7 linked regions of the Coturnix japonica genome follow. The protein of the gene in region 2 interacts with the protein of the main gene of each other region in a biochemical or structural test. Links are inferred from orthologs where the notes say so. Each region holds a gene or a part of one and is shown on either strand. Other genes may lie near its edges.

The links.
Region 1: the proteins of ERBB2 (region 2) and ITK form a complex in vitro, tested with the Homo sapiens proteins (2 studies listed by BioGRID and IntAct, with this or other methods). The link is inferred for Coturnix japonica from reciprocal best matches to the Homo sapiens genes ERBB2 and ITK.
Region 3: the proteins of ERBB2 (region 2) and SLA2 form a complex in vitro, tested with the Homo sapiens proteins (2 studies listed by BioGRID and IntAct, with this or other methods). The link is inferred for Coturnix japonica from reciprocal best matches to the Homo sapiens genes ERBB2 and SLA2.
Region 4: the proteins of ERBB2 (region 2) and BLNK form a complex in vitro, tested with the Homo sapiens proteins (2 studies listed by BioGRID and IntAct, with this or other methods). The link is inferred for Coturnix japonica from reciprocal best matches to the Homo sapiens genes ERBB2 and BLNK.
Region 5: the proteins of ERBB2 (region 2) and CRKL form a complex in vitro, tested with the Homo sapiens proteins (2 studies listed by BioGRID and IntAct, with this or other methods). The link is inferred for Coturnix japonica from reciprocal best matches to the Homo sapiens genes ERBB2 and CRKL.
Region 6: the proteins of ERBB2 (region 2) and RASA1 form a complex in vitro, tested with the Homo sapiens proteins (2 studies listed by BioGRID and IntAct, with this or other methods). The link is inferred for Coturnix japonica from reciprocal best matches to the Homo sapiens genes ERBB2 and RASA1.
Region 7: the proteins of ERBB2 (region 2) and TXK form a complex in vitro, tested with the Homo sapiens proteins (2 studies listed by BioGRID and IntAct, with this or other methods). The link is inferred for Coturnix japonica from reciprocal best matches to the Homo sapiens genes ERBB2 and TXK.

The regions. Positions count from the first base shown.
Region 1 is NC_029528.1:13,125,875-13,129,374, forward strand, and holds part of ITK (tyrosine-protein kinase ITK/TSK), read right to left. Parts: intron 3,499-3,500; coding exon 3,380-3,498; intron 2,032-3,379; coding exon 1,874-2,031; intron 1,336-1,873; coding exon 1,264-1,335; 3' UTR 1-1,263. UniProt on the Homo sapiens protein: Tyrosine kinase that plays an essential role in regulation of the adaptive immune response. Regulates the development, function and differentiation of conventional T-cells and nonconventional NKT-cells.
Region 2 is NC_029542.1:3,920,760-3,924,867, forward strand, and holds the start of ERBB2 (receptor tyrosine-protein kinase erbB-2), read left to right. Parts: upstream 1-1,308; 5' UTR 1,309-1,463; coding exon 1,464-1,548; intron 1,549-3,805; coding exon 3,806-3,957; intron 3,958-4,051; coding exon 4,052-4,108. Other genes in the region: PGAP3 (post-GPI attachment to proteins factor 3), read right to left, coding at 1-273. UniProt on the Homo sapiens protein: Protein tyrosine kinase that is part of several cell surface receptor complexes, but that apparently needs a coreceptor for ligand binding. Essential component of a neuregulin-receptor complex, although neuregulins do not interact with it alone.
Region 3 is NC_029535.1:772,419-776,378, forward strand, and holds SLA2 (src-like-adapter 2), read left to right. Parts: upstream 1-1,160; 5' UTR 1,161-1,442; coding exon 1,443-1,624; intron 1,625-1,715; coding exon 1,716-1,802; intron 1,803-2,094; coding exon 2,095-2,198; intron 2,199-2,883; coding exon 2,884-3,033; intron 3,034-3,102; coding exon 3,103-3,229; intron 3,230-3,308; coding exon 3,309-3,477; 3' UTR 3,478-3,697; downstream 3,698-3,960. UniProt on the Homo sapiens protein: Adapter protein, which negatively regulates T-cell receptor (TCR) signaling. Inhibits T-cell antigen-receptor induced activation of nuclear factor of activated T-cells.
Region 4 is NC_029521.1:18,334,680-18,338,179, reverse strand, and holds part of BLNK (B-cell linker protein), read left to right. Parts: coding exon 1-42; intron 43-1,375; coding exon 1,376-1,401; intron 1,402-1,950; coding exon 1,951-1,979; intron 1,980-2,270; coding exon 2,271-2,366; intron 2,367-3,168; coding exon 3,169-3,211; intron 3,212-3,500. UniProt on the Homo sapiens protein: Functions as a central linker protein, downstream of the B-cell receptor (BCR), bridging the SYK kinase to a multitude of signaling pathways and regulating biological outcomes of B-cell function and development.
Region 5 is NC_029530.1:7,298,309-7,301,808, reverse strand, and holds part of CRKL (crk-like protein), read left to right. Parts: intron 1-327; coding exon 328-790; intron 791-3,500. UniProt on the Homo sapiens protein: May mediate the transduction of intracellular signals.
Region 6 is NC_029547.1:54,365,730-54,369,823, forward strand, and holds the start of RASA1 (ras GTPase-activating protein 1), read right to left. Parts: upstream 2,801-4,094; 5' UTR 2,562-2,800; coding exon 2,173-2,561; intron 1-2,172. UniProt on the Homo sapiens protein: Inhibitory regulator of the Ras-cyclic AMP pathway. Stimulates the GTPase of normal but not oncogenic Ras p21; this stimulation may be further increased in the presence of NCK1.
Region 7 is NC_029519.1:60,026,559-60,030,749, reverse strand, and holds the start of TXK (tyrosine-protein kinase TXK), read right to left. Parts: upstream 2,801-4,191; 5' UTR 2,698-2,800; coding exon 2,634-2,697; intron 1-2,633. UniProt on the Homo sapiens protein: Non-receptor tyrosine kinase that plays a redundant role with ITK in regulation of the adaptive immune response. Regulates the development, function and differentiation of conventional T-cells and nonconventional NKT-cells.

The sequences.
Region 1 (3,500 bases), on a different chromosome or scaffold from region 2:
AGATGCTGCAGGACACGAACACCCACATTTCTGGTTTGGAGGTCAGTTATGTCAAATCAGTGTCTGTCCTGCAGCGGAGGATATTAACTGAAGTACCAACAGATGGATATTGCTCACACCTTCTTGTGCTCTCACCACATGCTGTGGAGCTCCTGCAGCACCGAGGCAGTCTGTTTGCATAAGACTTTCTTTCTTTAATCATTCCCTAGAAGATTGACCAGTTTGTTCTCAGAAGAGATGGAAGAGTCTTTGCTTGTGATGATTCAGTTTCTGTTTGAAGTAAAACTTCTCATTAGCACTGGTGCACTGATCACACACTCTGTTTCCTCCTCATGGCACACTTGTTAGGGAATAGGTTCCTCTGTCTCTCCCTGGCACAGGATCCTGTCTGCTCCTGGACTGGAGGCACACAGCGCTCTGCCCTGCCGTGTCCTCCATGCTCATGTAGAGGAAGCTGGTGGAGGTTATTTATTTATCTTCTGATTTAGAAAGATTGAAGAAAAAAATCAACAGAAACTTTCAGATTGAGTTCCCCCCCCCAGAACACCTAGATGTGCATCTGAGTCCCATTTTCCCCCTCACTGTAGAAATTTGAGAGGATTTCAAGACTCTTTAACACATTACTTTTCCTGTTTCCTACTCACGAACTGCAGACACCTCTTTTGGGGTATCAGAATCCTGTGCCTGTTAAGCCACACTTTCATAGGAAGTTGTGTAAAAGGAGAACAAAACCACCTTAAAATGTCAGCATCAGAAATGCAGTCACTAAATCCAGCCTGTTCCTCTGTATCCCAGGCTTATTTTTGTTCAGAGCTTTCAGGTCCAGCCCACTCTGAATTAGAGAGCCGTGGAAATGTCTAAGTGTTCCTTCATAGTCAAAGAAAAGGTTTTTCCCCAGGGGAGACCTTTGGGAGTTTGCAGAACTGGAACATCAATGCCAAATCTCGTAGTTTTGAGGCTGAATCTTCACGAGAAGCACACTCGCTGTGTTACATATTGCAGGAATCTCTGCTCATTTGCTGGTTCTGCTTGGAAGATGCAAACAACAGTCTTGGCCAAGCCAAACCCCATGTCTGCTTGTGCTCTGGAAGACCTGGGAATATCTCGTCTTTCTGGAAGTACAGGCCTCTGCCCTTTGCTTCTCCTCAGGCACGCAGTAAGTTTCTGTGGTGGAAGGATTCATGTTATTGCTTTGTGTGGGGAAAATCCAGCCATCTGCCCGCTCAGGACTCTCTTAGCTTCATGTAGCAGCCAGTGCCATAATTACAGATCAAACTCAGAGATTTCACTCAGCTGATAAAGCAGAAGAGAAAAGGACGGACGGTCTTCTTTCCTCTGAGTGAAGGAGAGAGAGAGAGAGAATATTAATGTCAGTGTGGGAGGTATGGTGAGGTTAGAAAGGAAAACCTTGTGGAGAAAGGTGAGTTTTAACAGAAACAAAATGCATTCTTATAGAGAGAATGCCAACAGAAGAATCACGTTCCTTCTGCACCGTGTTCCTTCTCTAGTAATGTGAATTTTCCCCAGAGGACACTGAGTACTTTGTAAGGGGCAGGCTGTCATTTTTACCATCCACGTTAAAACTGAGCACAACTGATTCGTAGCTTTCTTAGGAAGCAAAATGCTGAACTAACTTGAGTTATGTGCACTGTATAGACTTCTCGGTGATGTCAATGCATTCTATAGAGACAGCAGCTTAAATAAAAGGTAAAGACCTGAATGTTTAACTCATCTTGCTAACACAGTGATAGCCTCAGAGTGCTTCATCTCCAGCACTGTATCTTGTATTAGCATGTGAGGTGTAAACTCTCCTAAATGCTGAAGGGAAGACAGCTCTTGTTGGGAAGCAGTGCTTTCCCAGTGAAATACTAACCATGCTCCAGCAGTGGCTCATCACCTCATAAATAGCCTTGGAGGCCAACTTGGGCTTGTAGAGCCGAAACCCTGCATTGATTTCTTCTACCACTTCTCCATTGGTGCGATTCTCATAAGGCATTTTGCCTTCACTGAAGACCTCCCACATCAGCACTCCTAAAGCAAACAAATGGGAACAATTACACAAGACACAAATCACATTCTCAGCAGGCCCACAGCCCCTTTCTCACTCATCTTTGAAGCGCAGCATTGGTGTCTGTTACTTGAAAAAGCATTCTTGCTCGGATTTGAAGCATGCATCAGAAAAATCATGGCCTAACACAGCTGTACGGTGCAATCATGGTGGAATTTCAAAGGATTGCAGCACGTATTTTTGCTTTTCCTAAACACTCATGATTTCCTATGATTACTGTTCAGAGCAGTACAGAAACTTGTGCTTATCCAGTGTAGTAGATGATATTCAAGATAAAATGGCAGTGGGCATTGGTCAGAGTTGGCCATCAGATCAGAAAAGGACTGCAGATAAAGTGAATGCAAGTTCTGGTGTTATTACTAGTCTTGCTTTCTTTGGTCTTCTGGTGTTAAACTGTTCACAGTGTAAAGAAAGAAGAGAGACAGATGAATCACTTCACCCAGCATCAACCACACACAGCTCCTAGGAAGGGCAGAGGGAAGCACAGAACTTTCAAGCACAGACTAGCCAAGGGTATAACCCTGCATTATTTACTGCGAGGCACGGAGCTGAGTGGCACCCCATTGACTGTGTGCTGTGCTCTACACACTGTACCGATTCATTCTGCACTGCCACTATTTGCATGTTAGCTGGATGTAGGCCAGGCACATCAGTGTGCCAGATCAACCGGCCAGGGAATAGTCTTTGTTATCTCCAGTGGCAATGGCTGTGGGGAAAAAAACATACAGCAGCTTTCTTATCTATGAGGATCCAGAAAGGAGATCGAAGAACAGATGCAAATCATAAAACAATGCACTGGAGAGTGAGAAATTAGGTGAGAAAATGTCAGCACTGAAATAATATTTTTCAGATCAACAAAAAGCAAACAGAGTCAGCAAAAACAAATTCAGAGGCAGAGGTTTTGAATGAAGCTTCAGTGCTTTGGACTGCTGGTCAGAGAGATGAAATGCTTAAATGTCTGTATGTACTTTTTCTTAGAAACCTTCTGACTCTCCTACATGTTCTTGGTTAGTCATTCAGTAGCATCATAAAATAGCATTGTATGGGTACAATACATTATTATATTGGCAATATCTGGAGTGCTTCAGAGTGTGTAGGTGGTTTACTGTTCCTTTCTTTCTTTCACCTGGATGATTTAGGCTTGATTTTCCAAGCTACTATTCAAGCAAAACACCACTGGAACACTGAAGATGTAGTGTTTAGAACATTTTACTTTGGCACTAAGCCCCCAGGTCCTTCTGAGCTGATATTTAGCTGATATTTCTTCTTTTTTTTTGTTTCATTTTTTCCATTCTGATGAGAGTTTCTTACCGAATGACCAAACGTCTGATTTGGTGCTGTAGTTACTGTAGGAGAAAACCTCTGGGGCAGACCATTTAACTGGAAACTTGGTCCCCGTGGAGCTGGTGTACTGATCATCAAGAACAATCCT
Region 2 (4,108 bases):
CGCCGCCCCGGAGCAGTTCCGCCGCTCGCAGCGGCCCAGGCACTCTCGGTACAGCGGCTCCCGGTCACCCTGAGAGCCCCGGGCCGGGCCCGGTGCCGCCGCCGCTCCCAGTAACAGGAACAGAGCGGCCCGAGCCGCCCCGCCGCTCCCCATGGCCGCACGGCGCGGCTTCCGGCCCGCCCCGGAAGTGGAGGCGGCGCAAAGCATCACGGGATATAGCGCCCCCTGCGGGCACCACGTGAAAACAGCGATCCTGCAGGAGTGGAGCATCATGGGAAATCCACATTCACACTTGGGCGCTCACCGCAAAGGCTCACGGGATATATCCCTCCGTGCGGCTGGGGGGCTTCGGAGGACTCGGCAAGGCCTAGGCCCGGTTGGGCGGCCGTGCCCGTTGTATATATCCCCATATATCCCCTATATACCCCTATATAACCCTATATACCCCTATATAACCCCATATATCCCTATATACCCCTATATAACCCCATATATCCCTATATATCCCCTATATACCCCTATATATCCCTATATATCCCTTATATACCCATATATATCCATATATATCCCTATATATCCATATATATCCCTATATATCTCCTATATATCCCCTCTATATCCCCTATATATCCCTATATATCCCCTATATATCCCCTATATCCCCTATATATCCCTATATATTCCCTATATATCCATATATATCCCTATATATTCCTATATAACCCTATATATTCCTATATAACCCTATATAACCCTATATATCCCCTATATATCCCTATATATTCCCTGTATATCCCTATATATTCCCTATATATCCTTGTATATCCCCTATATATCCCTATATATCCCTATATACCCCTATATATCCCCTATATATCCCTATATATCCCTATATCCCCTATATACCCCTGTATATCCCCTATATATCCCTATGTATCCCTATATATCCCCTACATATACCCCTATATATCCCTATATACCCCTATATATCCCTATACATCCCCTATATATCCCTATATATCCAGTGTCCCCAACCCCTATGACAGCGTGAAGTGACCGACACCGGGACGGGGTGACCGGGAGCACCGGAACCGCCCCGTGTCCATTACGGTGCGACCCCCGGTACCGGATACACCCGGTTCGGTGCTGCCTTTACCCCGCTGCTCCCGGTACCGGCGGTTCCGGTGCTGCCCGGGACATCGCGACCCCCCAGTGTCCGAGTTCGGTGCCACCGGGATCCCCCCGTTACACCCGGTGTTACCGGGATCAACCGGGATTCCCCCGTTACACCCGGTTGTACCGGGACGGACCCGCCGCTTCCATCCCTCGTGAACGCGCTTTGTGGGCGGGAGCGCGCGGCGCGTCCCCGCGAGGTGGAGCCCGGGAGCGCGGCGGAACCGCACCGCAAACTTTCCCGGAGCGTCCGGTGCGGGGCCATGGGCCGCAGCCCGTCCTGAAGCGCCATGACCGACCCCCGGGGCCGCCCGTTGTGCCCCGTGCTCTTATCGCTGCTCCTCGCCTCGTTCTGCCCCGCAGCCGCCACCGAAGGTGGGTCCGCCCCGACGGGCAGCGGGGTGGGGGTGAACGGCGGGATCGGAACGGAGTTGTGCGGGGAGAACCGGGATCCGGGGCGGGGAGTGGAAGGTTTGGGGGTAACGGGGATAACGGGGGTAACGGGGGGTGCTGGGGATCTGCGGTTCAAAGCGACCCCCCTCCCCCACAGACCCCCCGGCCCGGTTGCCCCCCCCCCCCCCCCGCCGTGGGCAGCCCCTCCCTCTCGCCGTTCCCACGCGGGATTGGGCTGAGCCGGGAGACGCGGGGCCGGGGGCGGCCGCTCCGCTCGGTGCCCCCCCCCCGGTGCCCCCCGGTGCCTCCACTCGAGGGTTTGGAGACCCTAAAAAAAGCTCCGTCCCCACCGGCTGCGTGGGCTGGACCCGCTTTACCGGGGTCCCGCAATCACGAGAGGTGCCACGAGAGCCCCCACCGCCGGGACAGCCCCCCCTGCCCCCCATTCCCCGGTTTATGGAGCCGGTTTCGGGGCGCGGATGGGCCCCGGGGCGGCGGCGGTGCCGCTCGGTGCGGGTGGGCGGGGGGTGCGTCCCCGCCGGTCGCTCCCATCCACATTCTCGAGGTGCCGCGCCCTGCCCGGCCCGACGGGAGCAGCCGGGGCACGATCCAGCGCCGCGGGGCCTCGGTCGGAGCGAGGACGGGGACGGGGCGGGCATCGGCCCCACCGCCACCCCCCGGTGTTTGTGGGGCTCCCAGGGCAATAAATGGGGTCTCGGTGGGTCCCTGCTGCTCCCATCGCCCTGGAACCCGAGCTCCGAGTGCTGGCCCGTCCCCACCGCTGACCCCAGCCCCAACCCCGGGGGTGCGATGGAACTGAGACCGAACCGGGATCCGTCCCCCCCGCCTTCCCTGGGCCCTGGCAGCACCGTGTCCATCCCGTGCCCGCACGCAGCAGGTGGAGCAGACCTTGAGCTTTGGCCGTTCCCTGCGGGGTGGGGGCACCGGGCTGTCCCCACCTCCCCGTCCAACACGGGCAGCTCCGGGGGCACAGTTTTCCCTTGTGGACGTTCGGGGGCCGCTGGGGTCGTTGGGGGCGGCTACAGCCCGGTTCGTCCCACGGCCTCGTGGCAGCTGCCGGCACCGGGGGCCGTCACTCAGACCCCGCACAGCCCCCCCCGCACCGAGGGCAGAGCGCCCCCAACCCCCGCCGCTGTGTCCCCATAAGTTGTGGCGATGGTGGAGCCGAGGGGTCGGTGTTGGGGGCGACCAAACAAGAGAGGGGACAACGGGGACAACACGGTGACCCCGCTCAAGGAGAAGCACGGGGGGCACCGTGGGGGTCTCGAGGGACGCGGTGGGACCCCAGCCCACATCGGGGCCGTGGGGGGGGGTCTGTCCCGCGTGGTTGTGGGGCGCCGGGGGCCGCGGGCGGTGCCGGGGCTGGGCCGTTCTGCGTCACCCCGCTCGCTCCCCAAACACGCCCGACCTGAAAAGGCGGTTCCAGGCGGGACGTTGCGGCCGGACCGGGCCGCCCCAGCGCCGTGACTCACCGCAGCACGACCCGCCCCTCCCGGCCCCACCGCCACGAACGGGGACAGGAATGAGGGGGGGTCGGAGCGGGGCGGCCATGGGACGCGGCCATTCGGGGCCGCTCAACAATCGCGTGTTGTCTCGGTTCTCCCCCCACCCCCCGGCGGCGTGGGGGCACTGCGGGATACACCGCATTCCTGCTCCGCGGCCCCCGCCCCATTCGGGGCCCCCCGGTGCGGGCTGTGGGGACCCACCCAGTGCTGGACGTGGGCGCTCAATGGGGGTCGTGGCTGCTGCCGACGTGGGGGCAGCGGTGCCGCGGTGGGAGCTGGGGGTCCGCATCCCCGTGTATCCCCGTGTATCCCCGTGTATCCCCTTGTATCGCCGTGTATCCCCCTGTATCCCCGTGTATCTCTATGTATCTCCATGTATCTCCATGTATCTCCATGTATCTCCATGTATCTCCATGTATCTCTATGTATCTCCATGTATCTCTATGTATCCCCATGTATCCCCATGTATCCTCGTGTATCCCCTTGTATCCCGCTGTATCCCCGTGTGTCCCGCTTCCCCCGTCCCCACATCACACCCGGGGCCGCTCAGGAAGCCCATCGGAAACCCATCGGAAGTTTTTGGGAGCCGATAACCGTCAGCAGCCGCAGCGTTTCCTGCGGCCGGATCCCGCGGGGGCGATGGCCCGGCCGGCCTCGGCTGACCCCTCCCACCCCCCAACCCCCCCCCAATACATCCCGATCCATCCCCGCAGTGTGCACCGGTACCGACATGAAGCTGCTGCAGCCCTCCAGCCCCGAGAGCCACTACGAGACCCTGCGGCACCTGTACCAGGGCTGCCAAGTGGTGCAGGGTAACCTGGAGCTCACCTACCTGCCCCCCGGCGCCGACACCACCTTCCTCCAGGTGCGAGGATTCGGGGATACGTGGATGGGAAGGGATGGGGGGGGACATGGGGGCACCGTGGGGGTCTCACCGCCGTGCCCACCCCCCCCTGCAGGACATCAAGGAGGTGCAGGGCTACGTGCTGATCGCTGAGAACCAAGTGAGCGCCGTG
Region 3 (3,960 bases), on a different chromosome or scaffold from region 2:
GGAGGTGAGGAAGGGGGAGCTTCGTTGCCGGGCTCCGCGGGGCCGAGCGGTGGATCCCGGTCCGAGCCGCCCCTTCCCTGCGCTGCCGGGCACCGCTCCGGGCCGGGGCAGCCGGGAGGCGCAGCCGCTGAGCTGCTCGTTGTGCGCGCACCGCGGGCCGCGCTCCGGCCCTTTCGTTCTGGGGGTGGAGAAGGGCGGCCGTCCGCGGGGCCTTTCAAGACACAGCAGCGATACCGGGCACGGCTTCGAGGAGGAAGTCGGGGTGACCACAGCAGCTCCTTCCCCCCGGCACAGCTGCTACCGCAGCTCCTGGAGCGACCGATAGCGGTGTGTGCGGAGCTTCTGCTCTGCCGCACCTGAGGCTGCAAAGAGATCCCGGGTCACGGCGTGTCCCGGACCGACCCGCGGGTTCCTCTCCGTTCTTCGGTCGCAGCACCGGAGGGGCCACGCGCCGCATCAGCTCAGCGCTCAGCGCTCAGTCCGGCCCCGTTTGGCGGCCGCTTTCGTGCTCTCTGTTCTTCCGTGCGCACTTCACACCGACACGGCGGTTTGCGATTGACCAGAAGCCGTCAGAGCAGCACGACCTGCGGCAGGATGTGAGCGCGGCCGGGGGCAGAGAGCGGCGCCGGGAGCGGCGGGACCCGTCCGCGCTTTGCCGACGGCCGCGCCGGAGCGAGAAGGAGAATCCCGCTCAGCCTCGTCCGTCGCAGCCGCAGCCGCAGCCGCAGGTGTCCCGGCGGAGCGAGGCCTCGTCCCTTCGCCCCGCTGCGCGCCGCGCCCAAACGCCGGGATGCTCGGAGCCCGCCCGGCCCTGAGGAGCCCGGCGCGATGGCGGTGAGCGGCAGGTGGGAGGGTGACCCCGGCCGGGTGGCAGCGGGGAGCTCGGGGGTCGGGTCACGCGCGGCTTCGGCTGCGCCTCCCCACGGGCGAGGAGCCCACGTGCGGCGCTGCGCGCGGAAGGGAAGCGGGCCGCGCTGTTCCGCTCGGCGCTGGCGGCTCCGAGCACCGGGCGGCCCGACGGCCCCGGCACGGCCCGGCACGGGGTTGGGTGGCGGCGCTGAGCGCGGCTCCAGGCGGGGCCCTGAGGCCGTCCGTCTCCGGGGCTCCCCGCCCGCCGCGGCCGCAGCTCCCCGGGGGCCGTTCCGGGGCCGAGGCCGTTTCCTCGAAGGGCTCCCGGGGGAGATCGTCCCCGTCCCGGAGTTCCGCGTGTCCCGCCCGGCTCGGAGCCGCCGTGCCGGGGATGGGACGCTGACTCTGCTCTGGGATGGGAGCCCGCAGCCCTGAGCCCGGTGTGGGCACCGTGTGCTGCGCGCGGCTGCGGGTCCCGGCCCCTCTGCTCTCTGCCACGGGTGCAGTCGGGCCGGGCCGAGCCCCGTCCTTCCCTTCCAGCCGGTAGGGCCCGCGGGCGGGGGCTGCGCGCTGCCGGCTCAGTGCGGCGAGGAATGGGGATCCTGCCCAGCCGGGAGAAGCCGCTCAGCGCCGCACCGTTGGCCGCCATCCCCGCGCCGTCCCCGCTGCCCACACAGGCGGCCCCGGGCGGATTCCAGGCGCTGGCTCTCTGCGATTTCCCCTCCGGCGCGGGCGCTGCGCTGAGGATGGGCGAGCAGCTCCGCGTCCTCTCTGAGTAAGTCCGGCACCGAGCGGGCACTGCTGGCGCCCATCCGCGGGGATCCCCCCCCAACAGCAGCAGGACATCGCGTCCCAATTCCCCGCAGGGATGGGGAGTGGTGGCTGGTGGCATCGCAGGTGTCGGGCAAGGAGTGCCTCGTACCCAGCAGCTGCGTGGCCAAAGTGCGGCACAGGTGGGTGTCAGCCCGGGGTGACGTGGGGGCAGAGCCGGGGGGCGCAGCCAGGACACCCCGAACTCGTGGGCCGTCCCAAAGACAAACCGCAGCCGCTGCTCGTCCAGGCCCGTTGCTGGCACTGGAGCTGAGCTCAGGGACGTGACAGCGGCGTCCCAGTCGCACCGCCCCACACCTGCGGCCTGGAGCCGCATCGGCCGCGGGCGTTTCTGCGGGGCCGCCCACCTGTCCCCGTCTCCGTCCCCGGGAGGCGCCGCAGCTCTCAGCGCCGACCCCGCCCGCTGCCGTGCAGGTGGTTGTACGAGGGCGTCAGCCGGGAGAAAGCGGAGGAGCTGCTGCTGCAGCCGGGAAACCACAGCGGAGCCTTCCTGATCCGAGAGAGTCAGACCCGGAGAGGTGAGCGCAGCGCCGGGGGGTTGGGACGGGCAGCCACGGGGTGAGCGGGGTCGGGCACGGGCAGGAGCATCAGCAGCGCCGTGTGACACCGGACGGAGCTGAGCCCCTGGGAGCGCCACGGAACCTACGGTCGGGCCCGGCCCCGCGCGCCCTCCTCAGTGTGAGGAGCTTCCCAGCCCCTCCGCAGCACGTGCCCAGAGCCGGCACAGCGCGGGGCTGCTCTGACACCGCACCTGGCGGCACCGGGCCGCCCCGCGCGGCCGCTTCCTGCTGCTGCTGCTCTGCTCGGTGCTGCGCCTCTTCCTCCACCGAAGGGCCCCCACAAACCGGCTTCCTGCAGCTGCTGGTTAAGCGCAGAGGCTCAGCCTCAGAGCTGAAAGGGGCCCAGCTCGTGGCAGCCCCACAGCAACCACGAGGGGACCCTGCTGGGCACCCCCCCATGCTGGGCCCTTCTTCTGGCAGCTCTGCCGCCCTGCGCTCCCACCGCTGCCGTCCGGGCGCTGTGGCAGCTCGGGGAGGGGAACCCCGGGCAGAGCCCGTCCTGGCAGCCCCGTGTCCCTGCGGCGGGCAGCCGGCAGCGTGCGCTGTGTGGATGGCACCGGGCTCCTCCCGATAAAAGCGAGGCTGCTGGGGCCGGACGCTGAGCGGGGCTGCAGGCAGCTCAGCCCATCCCACATCCCCGCAGGCGGTTTCTCGCTGTCGGTGCGGCGCACTGAGCTCCCCTCGTGGGATGCAGTCACTCATTACCGCATCCACCGCCTGGAGAACGGCTGGCTCTACATCTCACCCCGCCTCACCTTCCCCAGCCTGCACGACCTCGTGGAGCACTACAGCGGTAAGGAGCCGCACTCGGGGCGGCCGCGGGTCGGTGCAGCCCCGCGCTGACGCCGCCGACCCCACGCAGAGAGCGGGGAGGGTTTGTGCTGCACCCTCAGGGCGCCCTGCGCGATGCAGGCGGCGAAGGCAGCGCCAGCCCCGGCCCGGCCCGCAGTGGTGAAGAAGCCGATGCTCAGCTGGGACAAAATCGACAGGTGTGGGCAGCTGTGGGGCTGTGGTCCCGCTGGGGCCGGGAGCCGCTCTCTGCTCTGACCGCCCCCGTCTGCCCCACAGCTCCGTCCTGCTCTCAGAGGCCGCGGCACCGCCAGGGGAGGAGGAGGAGGAGGAGGATTCCTCCCCCATCAGCCAGGGCCTGCGGGAAGCCATCAGCTCCTACCTGCTGCTGACGGACAGTGCGGACCCAGAGATGGGACTTGGGGGGAAGGAGGAAAAGAGCAGCTGAGGGCACACACAGACCTGCCCACAGCCCCTCCACACACACACGCTGGGCCCACGTAGAGGCGCAGCCCTGCAGCTCCAGGACCCACAGCGCATCCACGTGGGGCTCTAAGTAGCACAGAGCCTGGGCCCCTCGGAGCCCCACGGCAGCGGCCCTTACCCCACAGAGATGGGTCTAAAGCTTTAACTCATCCATTAAACAGAACCTTGCAGGACAAACAGCATCACCCGTTTGTAATGTCTTAATTAAGGGTTATTGGGGGGGGGGGGAGAGGAGGAACTTCAGCACCATGACGCTGAGCGCATGGAACAGCCCTGCAGCTCGGGCAGCCTTCACTATAACCAAAGTTCTGTGGGAGGACTGACCCAATTTGAGGACCATGCGGGAGAAGGGACGGCTTAGCAGCACCAACCCCCCAGCAGCAGACATGGCTGACAGCAGCCCCATTGCACCCAGTGGTGGCACAGATCCTGGAAACCTCCTCTC
Region 4 (3,500 bases), on a different chromosome or scaffold from region 2:
TCCCTACTCCTGCAAAGCCCTCTCTTGCCTCTGACATGCAAGGTATGTGGAGTTTGTGTTGATGCTGAAACAAAATAACTTAAGACTGAGCAATATTAAGTTATGATTGATGTATTCCCAACAGAAACCATGTAATACATAAAATGTTTCCCTTTCAGTTTTTCAGTGTTATAGCATTTGTTTTGCCTAGGTTGGTTGGTAAGTCTGCTTTAAGCACAAATAAAACTAGAACAAGTCATTTGCCCCAACCTAATTTATTCTTAGTCATCTTGTCTATAGAGGAACACAAATTGATCAATACGGCAAAAACAATTATAGGACTTGGAATGCTATTAATCTCACTTCACCAGAGGAAACAACATTCAATATTGAATCTTGATGTGATTTTAAAATATGTGAGAAATTCCATGTAGGCTGATGTGCTGCATGCCCTGGGATAACAATGTTCCTAAGTTCTGTAAAAAGCAATTTATTTGGAAAAAGGGGGAAAAAAAAAGAAGCAAATGTGAGAATCATGTTTGCTTTTCTAAGTATGTGCATATTTGCTTAATCTTCCTTAGCTGTGCTAACTCCAAGTTGTTTTGTATCCTTGAATGTGTCAGTAATTGCTTGGCATCAAACAGAATGAATTCGAGGCATAAACTATAAAAGTTTCTTACGAATGACCTGAGGATTTGTGACATGCTTCTTGGATATTTTAAATGCTATTTTCTATCTTAGACTTTCTATAAATCAGTGTTAAGCAACAGCCAACTCTAGACAGATGTTTCTAAAAAAAAATAAAACATCTCCCCCTGGTGGGAATGTGGATACTTTTCAGAGTAATAAAAGCAATGAAAACTGACATAAAATTGAATTTCCATTGAATAAAGTGGGCATGAGTAAGGACGATGGTGTTCTTGTCTTTTAGTATCTGTGAATTAAAATACTTCTGTGCCCAGGGATGGACATGAAACAGAAAGGGATCTATCTGAGTGTATGGTTCACCTGATCTTTTCTTCCCTGAGAGTCAGGGAAAGGCTGACTGCTACCACAGATGTCATAATGCACCTTTCCAAAGAGTCCCAGGTTTGCAAGACACAGGATTTGTCTTGCTTTTTGAGAGGCTGGGGTGGGGGGAGTTAGTAAGGGTGGAGAAAACTCTCCTTCATACAGCGACTGTTTATCACACTTCCTTGAGTTCTCTGTTGTTTCAAAAGCAGCAGGGCTGTGGCTGCTTGAGGATTTAGGAGGCAGAACCAGGAGCAGGGACAACTTTCCGAGTTACTTTTCCAGAGGCAAAATACAGTTGATACAAATTCTGTTCAGTTTTTCTGGTAACACGTAGTGCACTTTTGCTATCTAAAGGATTTGCTTTCTCTACCCTGTCCTACAGAAGTGTACGAGGTTCCTGAAGAAGAGGTAAGACTTTCCTGTAGTTTGATTCTTGTACCCTGTCTGTGAGTAACATAAGTGATTATAGAGTGTATATGCATATAAAAATCAGTCTTTGAAAGGGGAAAAATGGAACAAATCTGTTTTCGCTTAGTGCTTTGACACTTCCTTCACAGAAAAGTTGGCAAAGCAATTCAAGATATCTGCCAAATAGAATAACTGGGAAGGGGTTGAAATTTCTAGTCCTATGTGATAGCAGTTGGGTCTGGGAAGCAGGAGCTTAGGAGAATGCTCTCCAGAGAAGCACAGTCACAGGCAAAGGAGTAATGACAGTTCTGACACAGTAATTTTCTCTTTGCTTGCTGGCTCTGACATGACAGATGACCACACCAGTGTGTTCAGGGCTTCCAAATCTATTGGTGGTGGTTTCCTACCATCCTCAAGCACATCACCAGGCAGAATTCTACCACAAGCAATACAAAAATAAGATATTGCTATGATAATATAAATATGATCACAGAAATGTTTTTATGAAATCAAAATGACCAAAAAATTCTGTGTCTTTTCTCTTAAAAGGAAGAACTTTCACCACCACCCGTATCCAGGTAATCTCTTGCTATGAGTGTTTGTATACTATTTAAAGTTTGTTGGAAAGTGTATTTTCTCGTCTGGATGTAATATGCTTAATAATTATCTTTAAAATACCTACGCAAAGATTGTTATCCATTTCTATGTTAATTTCAATTACCCTAACATAATGTACTAAAAGATCTACTACTTACATAAGGGTAATTTTTAGGACTTTTAAGGGGCAGAGCAGGAGTAGGGTGGGTCATCTTTTCTATTCATCACTGTTAAATGTGATTTTCTTTCCTCAATTCACATTTGACTATAAGGTTCACTAAGCCACTTCCTGCTACACGTGCTCAGAATGCAGAGCACTCGCACATGCACAGCATGACTAGAGAGTCACCTAAGCTGGACACTTCCAGGTAAGTTGGCAGCAGTTTATATTAATAACAAATAAGAGTGGAGACAAAATTTTCTAATCTCTACTTATTGTGTAGCATTTGGACAATTCGTAGGAGTCAGGATTTGCAAATAGCTAGAGATGCTGGAGTACGTTGAGAATAAAAGTTCATCCTTAACTCCTGTACTGAAGCCAGTTTGCGAGATAGGCGCTATTTTCTTGAATCAATTAAGAATTAATATCAATCAAGAATTAATACAGTGGTAAAACATCTCTGCAAATTACATTGAAGTCCTATTATTGGCTTCTGTGCCCTCGCAAACAAGACATTTTTGTAGTGGATGGGGTGTAGGATTGCTTGTATAAACAGAGTTGGTAAATCTGTTATTAAATTCCAAGTCCCTAGAGGAAAATTAATGTTTAAAAAAAAAAAAAAAAAAAAAAAAGCATGCAGTCTCTTTCATTCCTGTGTATCCACAAATATAGGAAGCTGCTTGGAAACCAAGACATTGTCTCATTCCTAGGTCATCACTCTACCAAGTAGGTCATATGCCCCAGGAAGAGCAGGTGGAATTCACAACACTGTTACAGTGTTTAGGTCCCCTGTGCACAGCTGCAGGGGAACCAAAGTTCAGAACTAGAAGCTCTTCTAAATGGGTTCCTCTATATGGTAGAGCATCACAACCACTGTGGTGGAGTATACTTGTAACTAAAACCATTTTCTTCAGGACTCTCTAGATCTTGCAATGGATATCTAAGTCAAACATTCAAACAAAATAAGTAAAAATCCTACTTATCTTGACTGACTTTCTGTTTTTTTCCAGAAATATTTTGCCTCTCCCCAGAAATCGCCTTCATCCAAAAACAGTGAGTAATGTGCCCATTTAAAGGGTGTGCAAAACTCTCTTTTGATTTTTGTATCCTTTCAGTTTTATTATCTGAACTAAATAACAGAAACTGATAAGTTTGGATGCTAGATTGACCTAATATTGTAATTTTGGCTACTAATCTTTGGGACAGAAGAGGTATATTGGACACCTGTATTGGTCTAAGAAAAAATTTCAAACGGCTTCAAGTACAAATACCATCCTGTACTTAAAAAAAAAAGGTGTGGGGGATGGGGGGGGGGGAGAAAAATTGCTTAAACTACAAGAAC
Region 5 (3,500 bases), on a different chromosome or scaffold from region 2:
CTCAGGTCTGTCATTCAGGGTTACTGGATTCTTGACAGAAGTAGATGCTGAGGTTAAAGATGGAAATGCAACGAACTGGGAAGGATTATTTATCTTTCTCTAAGAACTTCTCCCCAGTCACCCAAAACCTTTTCACTTATTTTTAATGTATCACAACCTCTCATACCTTAAGCCACAGAGATCTTTATTCTACCCTTACATCTTCACAATAATTCAAATGAGAAAGTTACCCTTTACCTGGTGTTCCTAGTGTGCAGCTTGTGGCTAGTTTTGTTACTGGAAATGCAAAACAACAGCTGTTGATAATTAGAACTTTTTTAAACTTAGGTATCCAAGTCCACAAATGGGATCTGGATCAGCCCCTACTATGTCTGCTGCCGAAGAAAACGTGGAATACGTTCGGACACTCTATGACTTTCCTGGCAATGATGCTGAGGATCTCCCATTTAAAAAGGGTGAAATACTGGTAATTGTAGAGAAGCCAGAAGAACAGTGGTGGAGTGCCAGAAACAAGGATGGTCGGATTGGGATGATTCCTGTTCCTTATGTAGAAAAGCTAGTCAGATCTTCTGTCGGGAAACATGGGAACAGAAATTCCAACAGTTATGGTATTCCAGAACCTGCCCATGCTTATGCTCAGCCTCAGACCACAAGTCCCCTTCCCACAGTATCCAGTACACCCGGAGCAGTGATCAATCCTCTGCCATCCACGCAGAATGGACCAGTCTATGCCAAAGCTATCCAAAAGAGAGTACCCTGTGCTTATGACAAGACTGCACTGGCATTAGAGGTGAGTTTTCCCCTTTGTCTTACAGCTTTCCAATGATTTTGAAAAATAAACTAAATATTGTTAGCGACAGAGCTGGTGTGGATGACTTCATGTGGAGTCTGTTTATCTGTGTCAAAGGACTGGCAAGTTCCATTATGTTCTGAAGAAAGATGTAGAAAAATTGCTTCATCTGTACCACTTCCTTTGAGAAAAGTGACTAAGCTAATTCAGAACGTAGGCTTAATGCACTGTTGTCTTGCCTATGGAACAGTGAGATGTGCTACAAGAGCAGTAGAATACATACATCCTTCTGTGGAAATACAAGGGATGACTTTGCTTCTCCATTTAACCTTGGAGAAGGGATATTTAACTGATCATTCCAAGCTGAAAACTGAAACAGAAAGGTAAGGATTGCTGATAAACAGCTGATTTTTCTGATTCTCAGCTGTAACTTTTTGGGCATTTGTGTGCTGGAGGGGATGGACACGGTACTAAATTATAGGATTAAAGGCCACAGTGTAGCTTCTAAACCTGCACTGAGTTTAGTAAGTTCCTGTGCTTGCCAAAGTGCTTTGTATTTTCTTTTTAGGGACGTCTCAAAGCCTTTGACAGCTTTATTCTTTAAATGGTAAAGAATTCCTGTTAACAATTATAATTGGCATAAATGATGGAATGGAAGTTCTTAAAAGCATACCTAGCATTGAGACTTACTTCTACACTTAGTTATATAAGGAGCTTGTTAACTCATCCTTCAGAAGTGTCTCACCTGGAAACTGTGCTATTGCTTACTGTCCTCAGAAATGAAATTAGAATCTGGCAAAGTACCTCAAGAAACAAATGTGGGGAAACAAGCAAGGGAAGGAATGACATCTTAGCAAGCAGAACAGTGATTTAAATAATAGTTTTGAACTTTTCCTGTTGCCTTTTTCAGTTTATAAATGAAGCTGCTTCCAAAGCTGCTGCTTTTCACTAATATTCAAAAGGTTTTGTTTGTCACTTTTGGCTATTCATAAAAGTTTCTCCAAACTGCCCTCTTACACAATCTCTACAGGTGGTTACTGGCAGAGGGTTAAAAATTAAACGTATCACTGTTTTCCTTGAGTCTTACCAAAGCCGGCAGCCTGTCATTGGTGAACAGTGTGTGAAAATTAGCGCAGGAAGAAAAGTAAATTCTCTGCCAACTGCACTGTACAGAAGATTCCTGCCTAAACTATTCATGCTTCTGAAGAGAATAAGGCAAGCAGTTGATTTTATGTTAACAGTGTGTCATAAAACAACTTTAGGGAACTTACTTTGCTGCAGGATAGCAGAACTGCTTGGGAGGACGGCTCTCACTAATGAATTTACTCTTATTTTGCTATTTACTGACCTAGTTAATTCTATCCTGTAACTGCCCTGATATACTGGTAACATGCATTCTCTGGCCAACATGCAGGTTGAAACTGTCATTAGAGCTTTTCCATCCATGCGCAGGGAAAGTGAGCAACTTCATTTCAAAGCCATGCTTTTTGTCACATGTACTATTTCTAAAGAATGCTCCAGATTCTTGACATAATCTTCCTTGTGTTTGCTTAACACCTGTTGCTGGCCCAACCTTCTCTGGACTCCACAAGTTCCTTAATAATCCAAACTACTGGAGGTCACATTGTTGAAAATGACAGGGTTCACTTAGACTAGAAGTTCTGTAAGAACACAGACAGTTACCAACAGGAGGGAAAGAACAGCTTAGGGAAATATTTGAGGGAAGAAAGTTAGCGGTGTTCTTTGAAAATAATATATTGCAATATTCAGCAGTTCATATATTGCAGTAGTCACAGTCCAGCTTGTATGTATAAAAACACCTTGGTACAGTTGTACTGATTTTGTAGTCTCATCTAAACTGATACAGCAGTCTGAAAACAGAATATCTGCTTGCTGGCTTTAGCTTTCTGTGGTCAGCACACAGACAATGCTTGAAAGAAGCAGAAAACCATCTGGAGTAAATAAAGCAGTTGCATAGTAATCTGCTCAACTTCTTTTTAAGTGGAGGGATGTCATTTCCCAGGGCTCAGTTTGAAAATGGGACAAGCTCTGCTTCCAAGTCTGATTTTTCTGTTGTATGCAATTGTTTACAAAAGCTGTCAAAATGCAAGACAAGATAAAAGAGCCACAGCCTGCTACAGAGAAGAAACTTGTTTGGTAAGGAAGGTAATTTAAGTTTCTCCCATGGAAAGATACCATTTATAAAGTGAATATTCTACTGAAAATCCTTGTTAAGATGTTTGGTAGGATGTTTAACTTTGAAACAGTTTATAAAATAGGACAGTTTAATGGCAAGCAGGTTTAAGGGTAACTGCCGTGTCCTTTTTTTTTTCCCCATAAGGATACTCATTAGGAAGCATGGCATTTGTACTTATTACTAAACACTGTGCTCAGTTCAGTTACTTACACTGGCAGTGCAGATTTAACACTTTTAAATGAAATATTGAAGTTTGCATTTTCTCACTGTAACCTTCCTGACACGTGTTGTATTTCCAAAGGTACTGGATACACACATAAAAAACCCACACAATAAAAGCAACAGCAAAGATCTGCTTCTCTAGTTGTGTGCTTTCGCCAAGAGGCAATTTCCTTCCTTTTTGGCGCTGCAGAGGAAGGAATATGAAGGACAGGGATACAGTGTTCTGTATTTGTTGGAACTGGGACTCTCTATTACAGGGTTACGTGCTGCTCTTCTTCAACCTCGGTTTTC
Region 6 (4,094 bases), on a different chromosome or scaffold from region 2:
TAATCTTAACTATAAATTCAATCATTATTCCTAAAGAATTATAGCAAACCTTTCCCTGTATAAGATTATAGATAATATTGATCTTTGTTTTGATAATAAATCAGGAGTTTAATTCCATAGAAGCAGATGGTACATCTACAAAGAAAGGGCCCTTCCAAAATAAAACAGCAGGACTGAGAGGATGCGATTTACTATCAGCATATGGCCAATCTGAATGACTTAAATAAGAACGATGAAAACTGACACCATAAAGGAGCTGAATGAGAGAGAAACACGGTTCTATTCAATCAATTTTTTATTGAAAAGTCACACTCCGAGGGTTATGTGGCAAAGGAAAAGCTGTTAAGAACACAGAGTAGGGAGGTACGTGTACATTTTCCACAATACTTGATTTGTTGTGAAGGATTCTCTTTTATGAAGAAAGCTCAGCTCACAGTTATGCCCTGGTTCTGCAAAGACTCCTGTCTCCCTTTTGTCTGAATAAGGTACTGTTAACCAGAGCAAATTAGGGCCTGCACAGCCTTCCCCTCAGCACACACTTGTCAAAGCACTTAAAGACAGACATCACTCCAGCACTTCAGTCACAGGACAATGCTCTGACAGCAAATCCCACTCCTATTAGCATATGTCCATATTGCATATTTAGGACCGAACAGGTGGTCATTTACAATCTGTCACCCCATTTCCTAAAGATACTTCCAAAAAGGACTCTCTCTCTCTGACTAACATAACTGGATCTAATGGAAAAAGCAGTCTGATCTATTTTCAGAGAGAAAACCAGAAGTACAGAATTGTGTGCTCCAGTGATTTGACAACCCTGAAGAAGTAATTTCACATTCGTGTGCCTCTATTTCCCTCCTGATCCTTTGTCAGAACTGCCTGATCATATTTCCAGCTCATTAGTGACGCCAGTCAAACACTGTTCAAACACTGCCTTAAGTTAGCAAACTTCTACAGAAAGTCAAGAAATCAGGAGATTACAGGGAAGACTGTCAAAGCGAGAGACATGAATTTAAAAGGGATTCATATCGGTACATTTTTATGTCCTCCTGATGACTTTAATGATTCCTGAAATCATGGAAATACACGAATGGTGCAGAAGTCTCTTAAGAGTGGTACTGGGAAAGAATGTAACAAAGAACCCAAACTCAGATGGGCTTTCAGGTCGTCCTTCTGATCCACGCCTTGAAACTATCTACCAACCCTCATGGTTTCACACAATCAGACTCCTTAAGGTTGGAAAAGCCCGCTATGAACATCTAGCCCAACTGTTTCAGTACCTTGAAACCTTACATTATCTACTATCCTCAGGAAACTTCAGGAACAACACATTTCTAGACACTACTTGGTGCAACCAATAGAGCTTCTGAAGCAACTCCATTTTTTAAATAGCCAGGCACCCTCCCAGAGAACTGTTTTCTGTACTGAAACGGGGCTTGAGGTGCTACACACAAACCTGCAGACTTCCTATGCTTCAGCCCAAAGGTTGTGCATGGAGTGCTCATTAATTACACAAACTACACACAGCATTATCTGATCCTACATTTTTCACACAATATAAATTGAGAACTGCTCTGCTCAGAGTGCGAAATTCTGTTACCAGCACCACAGGACATCCATTCACCTTAAAACAGAGATAACAGAATGAAATCCAACAGGAGGTTTGCAGGATTTTCACCTCTGCCTCCTGCCTCCATACAGACAAACCAACATCAGCCTCGCTTTAAACTGGCTGAGCAGCAAAGTCAGGCGCTATTCTGTAAGCACAGCCCGCCCACTATTTTAAAGTAGAAGAAGAATTCTACTCATTTCCAACCCGCGTTCCAGAGTGAGCAAACCTCACCCTCCCTACTCCACGAAGGCAAACACGTGCGTGCAACCTTCGTGATATTCCTGTATGAAATAACAAAAAGGCTGGGGTGTTCTTTGTGCTGTTCTTGTTGCTTTTTTTTAAGGTATAAACAACGGAATGCAAAGGGATGACACGAGGAGAGCAGCGCTTTGTACAGCGGGGAGGTCTCCGCCTGTTACAAAGTTAGCGCCGCAGTCCCAGTCTGTCCGGGAGCCGCCCGGGCCTCCCCCCGCCGCACGGACACGCGGCGCTGCGCGGAGCCGCGCTCTTCCTGCGCTCCGGGAGCGGAACCGAGGGGGGTGGGGGGCCGCGGTACTTACTGGTTGGTGGGGGGCGCGTTCAGCGGGATGGCCACCTCCTCCTCCTCGTACTCCGGCCCGTCCAGCGAGTCGCCCTCGTCCACGGCCGCCAGCCCTCCGGCCGGGGGTAGGGGCGGCGGCGGCGGCGGCAGCGGGGGGAAGGCGGCGGAGCCCGGCTCGCTGGGCGGTGGCGGGGCTCCCGTGGAGCCGAGCGCCAGCAGCCCGAGCGCCGAGCACAGAGCCGGGCCGGCGCCCGGGCTGTCCCCGCCGGAGCCGGAGCTGGAGCCGGGCGCGAAGGGGCCCTGCGGCCCCGGTGCTTTGCCTCGGCAGTGCCCCGGCTCGGCGGCGGCCGCCGTCCCGGCCGAGGTAACCGAACCGCCGTCCTCAGCTCCGGCCTCGGCCGCCATCATGTTGAGCCTCGCCCCCCCTCCCGTCCGCCGCTCGCCCTCCCGCCCGCAGCCGCCGCCGCCGCCGCACGCCGGGGAGGTGGCGACAAAGGGGCCCCGGCCCACCCCGCCCCGGCGGGGAGCGGAGCCGGGACGAGGGCAAAACTGTCCCGGCGGAGACGGGCCGCGAACAATACCCGGCTGGGCGGGGGCTGCGCGCTCACGGCGGCTCCGCAGGGCCCCGGCGCGGCTGCCTCGGCCCCGCCGGCCGCCAGGGGAGCGGCTCGGCCGCCCCGCGCTGTGCCCGCCCCCGTGCGCCCGCCAGCCGGGAGGGGGGAAGGACGGAGGCGGTGGGACGGGCCGCGCATGTGCGCCGCTCCCCAGCCTCGTCCCTATGAGCGCGTGCGTGGAGCTGGGCGGGGCAGGAGGGGGAGCGGCCGCACCGCGTGGGGGAGGAAAGTGCGGGGTAGGAGCGGCCCGAGCCGCCATGGTGTGCGGCCAAGGGGCGGCCATGGTGCGCCCTGAGGCTGAGCTGCCTTTGGGAGGGAAAATAGAAGAAAGTATGGGGAGTAAAAGCCAGGAGAGGCGGCAGGTGGCGCGGGGGCACGGCGGGAAGGGACGGCGCGATCGGGGCGTGCTGAGCCCGTGCTTTGTGTGTCCCCGTTATAGCTGCACCGCCGTGTGCTGCGGGAGGAGAACAGCGCATCGCCTGCAGCCGCTGTGTGACCGCACTGCCGCCCGTACTCCATTGCCGGTTACTCCGTTACCGTGCTGATACTTCTCTCATTATCTTCTTTTTTTCTTCTTCTTCTTTTTTTCCCTCCCCCCCCATAATAAAAGAGCTGACAAATAGCAGCACGTTGACACTTGCACGCCTCTCCAAAGTTCTCAGGAGGCATCTAAACATTCAGGTTTTCAAAGCCTTGTGTTACCAAAAGAATTAAGTGAATTTCTCCCCAGGCCACTAAAACAAACTCCTACTCGCGCTTCCACCGCCCTGCAGACAAACCTCCTTTTATCTGCCGAAACGAACCTTCCTATCTTGCCTTCTGAAGGCAGGATCCCATTCCAGGTCCTGCAGCGCTGCGAGTACCCGTGGGACTCTGCTGGGCTCGTGCCCGGTGTCAGAGCAGACGCTGTCTGCGTCCCTGGGCTCACAGAATGGCAGCGCGTTCATGCCCTGCTGTGCTGGTAAAGAAATTACAGTCTCAACAGCCATCTCTTACGGGCTTGGTTTCCACGTTGCCATATTTCAATCGGATATGTAATTCCACGTTGTCTTGCAGCCCACTGGCTCCGTGGGCTTCTGTTTAATGCTGTTTGCTTTCTCCTACGGGTTTTTAAATAAAAGGATTTCAGCACAGTCTTGTTGTTAAAATGATATTCCTAAACATAGAGCTGCAGTGTAAATATTTATGATTGCTTCGACGAAACACGCTTTTTTAACTGACTTAAAGGGGCAACAGCATGCGCATATAAGCATGGAGACCAGGGCATCTGTGCTCTGAATTTCCTGCAGCACTCCTCCAATAGATTTAATCTGGGTAGAGCAGTTCT
Region 7 (4,191 bases), on a different chromosome or scaffold from region 2:
CAGTTGCTTAAAACTGCAGCAGCTTAACTTTGAACACAGTCTCTAACATTGCTGGGAAGCAGAACTGCGTTAGCTAGTGTCTTCAGTGTGATCAAGCTTGGAACAAACAATCCTTTCCTAGAAGTCAGCTGGGAAATATTTGTTTTTTATATATTGCTTTTCTAAGCCTGGGAAAAAAAAAAAAAAAAAAAAAAAAAAAAAAAAAAAGAAAGAAAAAGAACAGCGAAAAAAACTCCAGAAAGGTAATTGTTTATGAACGATTCAAGTGAGGTGCAAAAGGAAATAGAAGACATTTGAAAACTTATCTGTTTCTGACACTGCATGTGGTCTGATTAGATACATCATTTCTCATTAGATTTGTTTGATTCTGAAATAAATATGAAATTGATGTTCTAGTAAGATTGTAAAGCTGACAACACAGAGCCAAAGCTGGAAGTCAATGCATAGGTTAGACCACGTCTGTTCTACACCAACCTCCTTTTTTGACATATTTGGCCAACACTGCAAATGGTGAAAGCTTTGACACACTGAACAATTTGATCTTTGCTAGCAACACAAGTAGATATCTACATGTAGGGCACTACCTCCAGATGCCCTAGTGATGCTCATTGCACAGCTACAGGAAACCTGTACTTCCTGCCTGAGGCTTTTATGGCTGCACACACCCTCCCGATGACTGAGGCTCTTCCTTTGTCTTTACCGTCTTCTACTCAAAAGCTTTAAATCAAAATAAAAAAATTAAATTAAACAGACACCTCCCTGTATTTTAATACACACACAAAAAGCAAGAAAGAAATTGAAAATGGATTTTCAGCATTTCTTCTTGAATCTCTTTTCTGCTATACCCTAAAACGTACAAACAGGAATCAGTGGAAGAATTCTGATTTCCCTGTTTAGAATTAAGGACCTTCTCTTAAACAAAACACTGGATTCAAAGATTTTTAGTCTCATAGATATTAATTAGGCCTTGATCCCCTGACCACACTCAAGAGTTCATTATTTAAAAACCCAGCAGTGATGGTATCAGTGAAAGCAGAAAATTCTCCAGCACCCACAGTGTCTCTGCACCTTTCAGCCCACATTCCCTTGAGCTCTGTCAAAACATAAACTACAAAAATACGTTTGGCTTTGATCCTTAGGAAGTAAGGATCTCTAACAAATCAGTTGGGTGGAGAACTTGAAATGTAGGTTCAACTCAAGATGAGAATTTAGGCTGCTGCATCCAGGATTTGCCAACACCTCCTCCTTTTGCTGTGTAGAGCATTTTCTGTTTCCAATTTCCAACAAATGCTTGCAATCTCAGAGGTCAGCCAATTCCATATTCAATTTAACATGGGAACAACAACAACAAAAAAAGCATAGCCCATTTAATTGCTAGTATTTTTTCTTCCTGGAAAGAGGTTTTTTAAAAGTCACATTTTCCTGATGACAAGTTAACAAGTGTAAAACCCAACACCAGCACTAATTATGATCACTTACAGGACTATGATGCCCAAAAGCAAATTTTTTTAGCGTGCCTGGTTTTGAGAAGTGAGAAGATATAGTGGCAAATGAGTCCTGCAGAAGAAGCATAAATCCTAGGAATGAGATGTTGAAGCTCACTTGACAAATACTCACAAAGAAAACAAACAAACAAAAACCAGAAAAGACACGGTAAAAAGATACATGTCCTTTGGGATGGTCCATTGCTGCAGGTAGTTTTGCTAAAAGAGCCCTAGAACATTCAGCAGAACACCTTGGGTTGATAAAATTGTGTGACAGTGTGTGAATCAGCCACAAATACATGCAATCTTCCCCCTATCTTCAGTTATACCTCACTCAATTTTGTAGTCTTTGGGAAATAGTATCAAAGGATTAGATGAAAGCAACGTGTCAGAGATGAGTTCTTATTAATCAGCATTTTATTATTTTGTCTATTGATCTGGTACACTTTGATCACTTTTCTGATTCACTGCACCTCAAAGCACTACTGATTTTGAAAGTGCCATAGCCCATTTCTAGGATGTGTATTTGTACTGAATGTTCTGCAGAGTTCCCATGCTTGCAGTAGTGATACATTAACTGTATACAAAGCTATACTGAGAAAAACTCAAATTCAGCTTCACCCAACAAAACCAAGTCTTTACCACAATGCTCAATATACGTATGCCTCCTGATCAACTACACTGACAGCTAATCTAGTAGAAAATTCCAGTACAGTTTGCTGCTAAAAAATACTTCAAAAGATAAGCTTTCAGCTTTTCAAATGTACAAACTTCAGCTGTGTTCTTCTGTGTACTAATTCTGCACCAGAGGAAAGCAGGCTCAAGTTCTACCAAACTTTTAATTCATATCTAATTTCTATGTGCCACTAAGGACAACATATGGGAATAACTCCACGTTTCCATCCATCTCCATCAGAAAAGATAGATGTCTTACTGAATCCATCGTATAATGGATTCAAATTTATGTAGTAATTTCGAAAATCAAGAAAAGGAGTCCAAATACAGACCACTCAATCTGCAACCAAGCCACATGAGAGATAACTATTGGGTATAATTATGGCAATAATTAAGTAGCTCGTTTGCTGTGTACACACAACTGCTGCACAAAACAATACTTCAAGAGAAAAATATGTGGGCCAGTTTACTTACAGGTTGAAAGAATCATATCTGGTTCTCCTCTTATATTCACAAGAAAATGCAAACCTTCTTTCATCAGTTGTGCCTGTAAATAGCCCAGCAGCACTCTTATCTCTGCTGTGAATCAAGGTAAGACATCAGTAGAGCCTGACTCCACCTACTTTCCTGAAAAAAAAAAAAACCTTACTAGATGTTAATCTCATGCCTGCTTGCTGCTGCTGTTGTTGCTTTCTCAATAGAAAAAAAAAAAAAAAAAAAAAAAGGAAAAATCATGAGAAAAAGTCTTTCTGCTATCTAAAACCAAATATACACTCTACAAATAAAAAGAATACTGAACGGCTGTCACTAGGGCTAACTACTGCTGAAAGTGGTAAAAACACCCAGCAGCCTTATGCCACTGAATTTGGTCTCATTCTGATAAATTTTTGATCCTGACATTTGAAGAAAAATAATAATAATAATAATAATAATTTTGTTTTAATAAAAAGGAGAAGAAAGCATGAAGGTGATTAAGGACTGACTGAGCTCACGCAGAAGAAACGATGACGTGGTATTTTAACCTGCCTTTGATTGCATGAGAAGGTCACCAAGAGAGCTGCCTCAAAAGCTGTTCTGATTCTTTCAAAATTAGTAACACCTGAGGCTATATTATATTCAACTGAAAAATGCATTCATCTAAAAATGAGGTGGCCTCACAGATCCTGATAGGTGATGTAAGTATCAAAACCCAGTGGAAGGTATGTAGAAATTATCCTTGGGCAGCATGAAGGGGCAGGTGAAGTACAGCATTCCAAGCGTCATCCAAAGTGCACATCTCCACTGAGGAAATCTGCCAAATACCTGCACAGTTAGGGAAATCTTTACCATATAGATCAGCACGTAATTCTTGTAGAAAAAAGAAACATCCATAAGGTTTACTAGAAATTATTACTCTCCTGATAATCCAGTGCTTCATATATACTTTAAGTGAAATACTGCTTATTCCTTTAAAACTATGCACAGTGTCAGAGGTGTTGGCAATGCCATAAAACCCTTTCTGACACCCCATAAGTTCCTGATGCAATATCACAAGGAAAAGAAAGCGTTTCTTCATACAAGATACTTCATCCTCATTCAAAATACAAAGGCTTAGACAAAGCAGTGAGAAGAATCTAAGCCCCTCCAAGACAGAAATGATGAAACACAGGAATTATAGAATGTGTTAAGGTAACTATATTTAGCAAATACTCCTCAGATGCTTTGGTCCAAAGTTAGGTGAATTGAAACAGACTTCAGCAAGAGGAAGCAGAAGAAGCAGCAGAGGGGAAAAGGCATGCAGGTATTAAAAGAGTTCAACCATTTCTGCTCTGAACACAGACAAATCCAATTAAATATATATCCATGTTAAATATATACATTTAATAGAGAGCACGTGTACATGCAGGTATGTATATACATGACCAATCACAATGCCTTATATACATGAACAATGAGACTGGCTTACGACGCACTGACTTGACAGTAAATTAGTGGCAACTCTTTACACATTGTTCCAAATAATGTTAACGTTCAGTTTATTTATATACACATT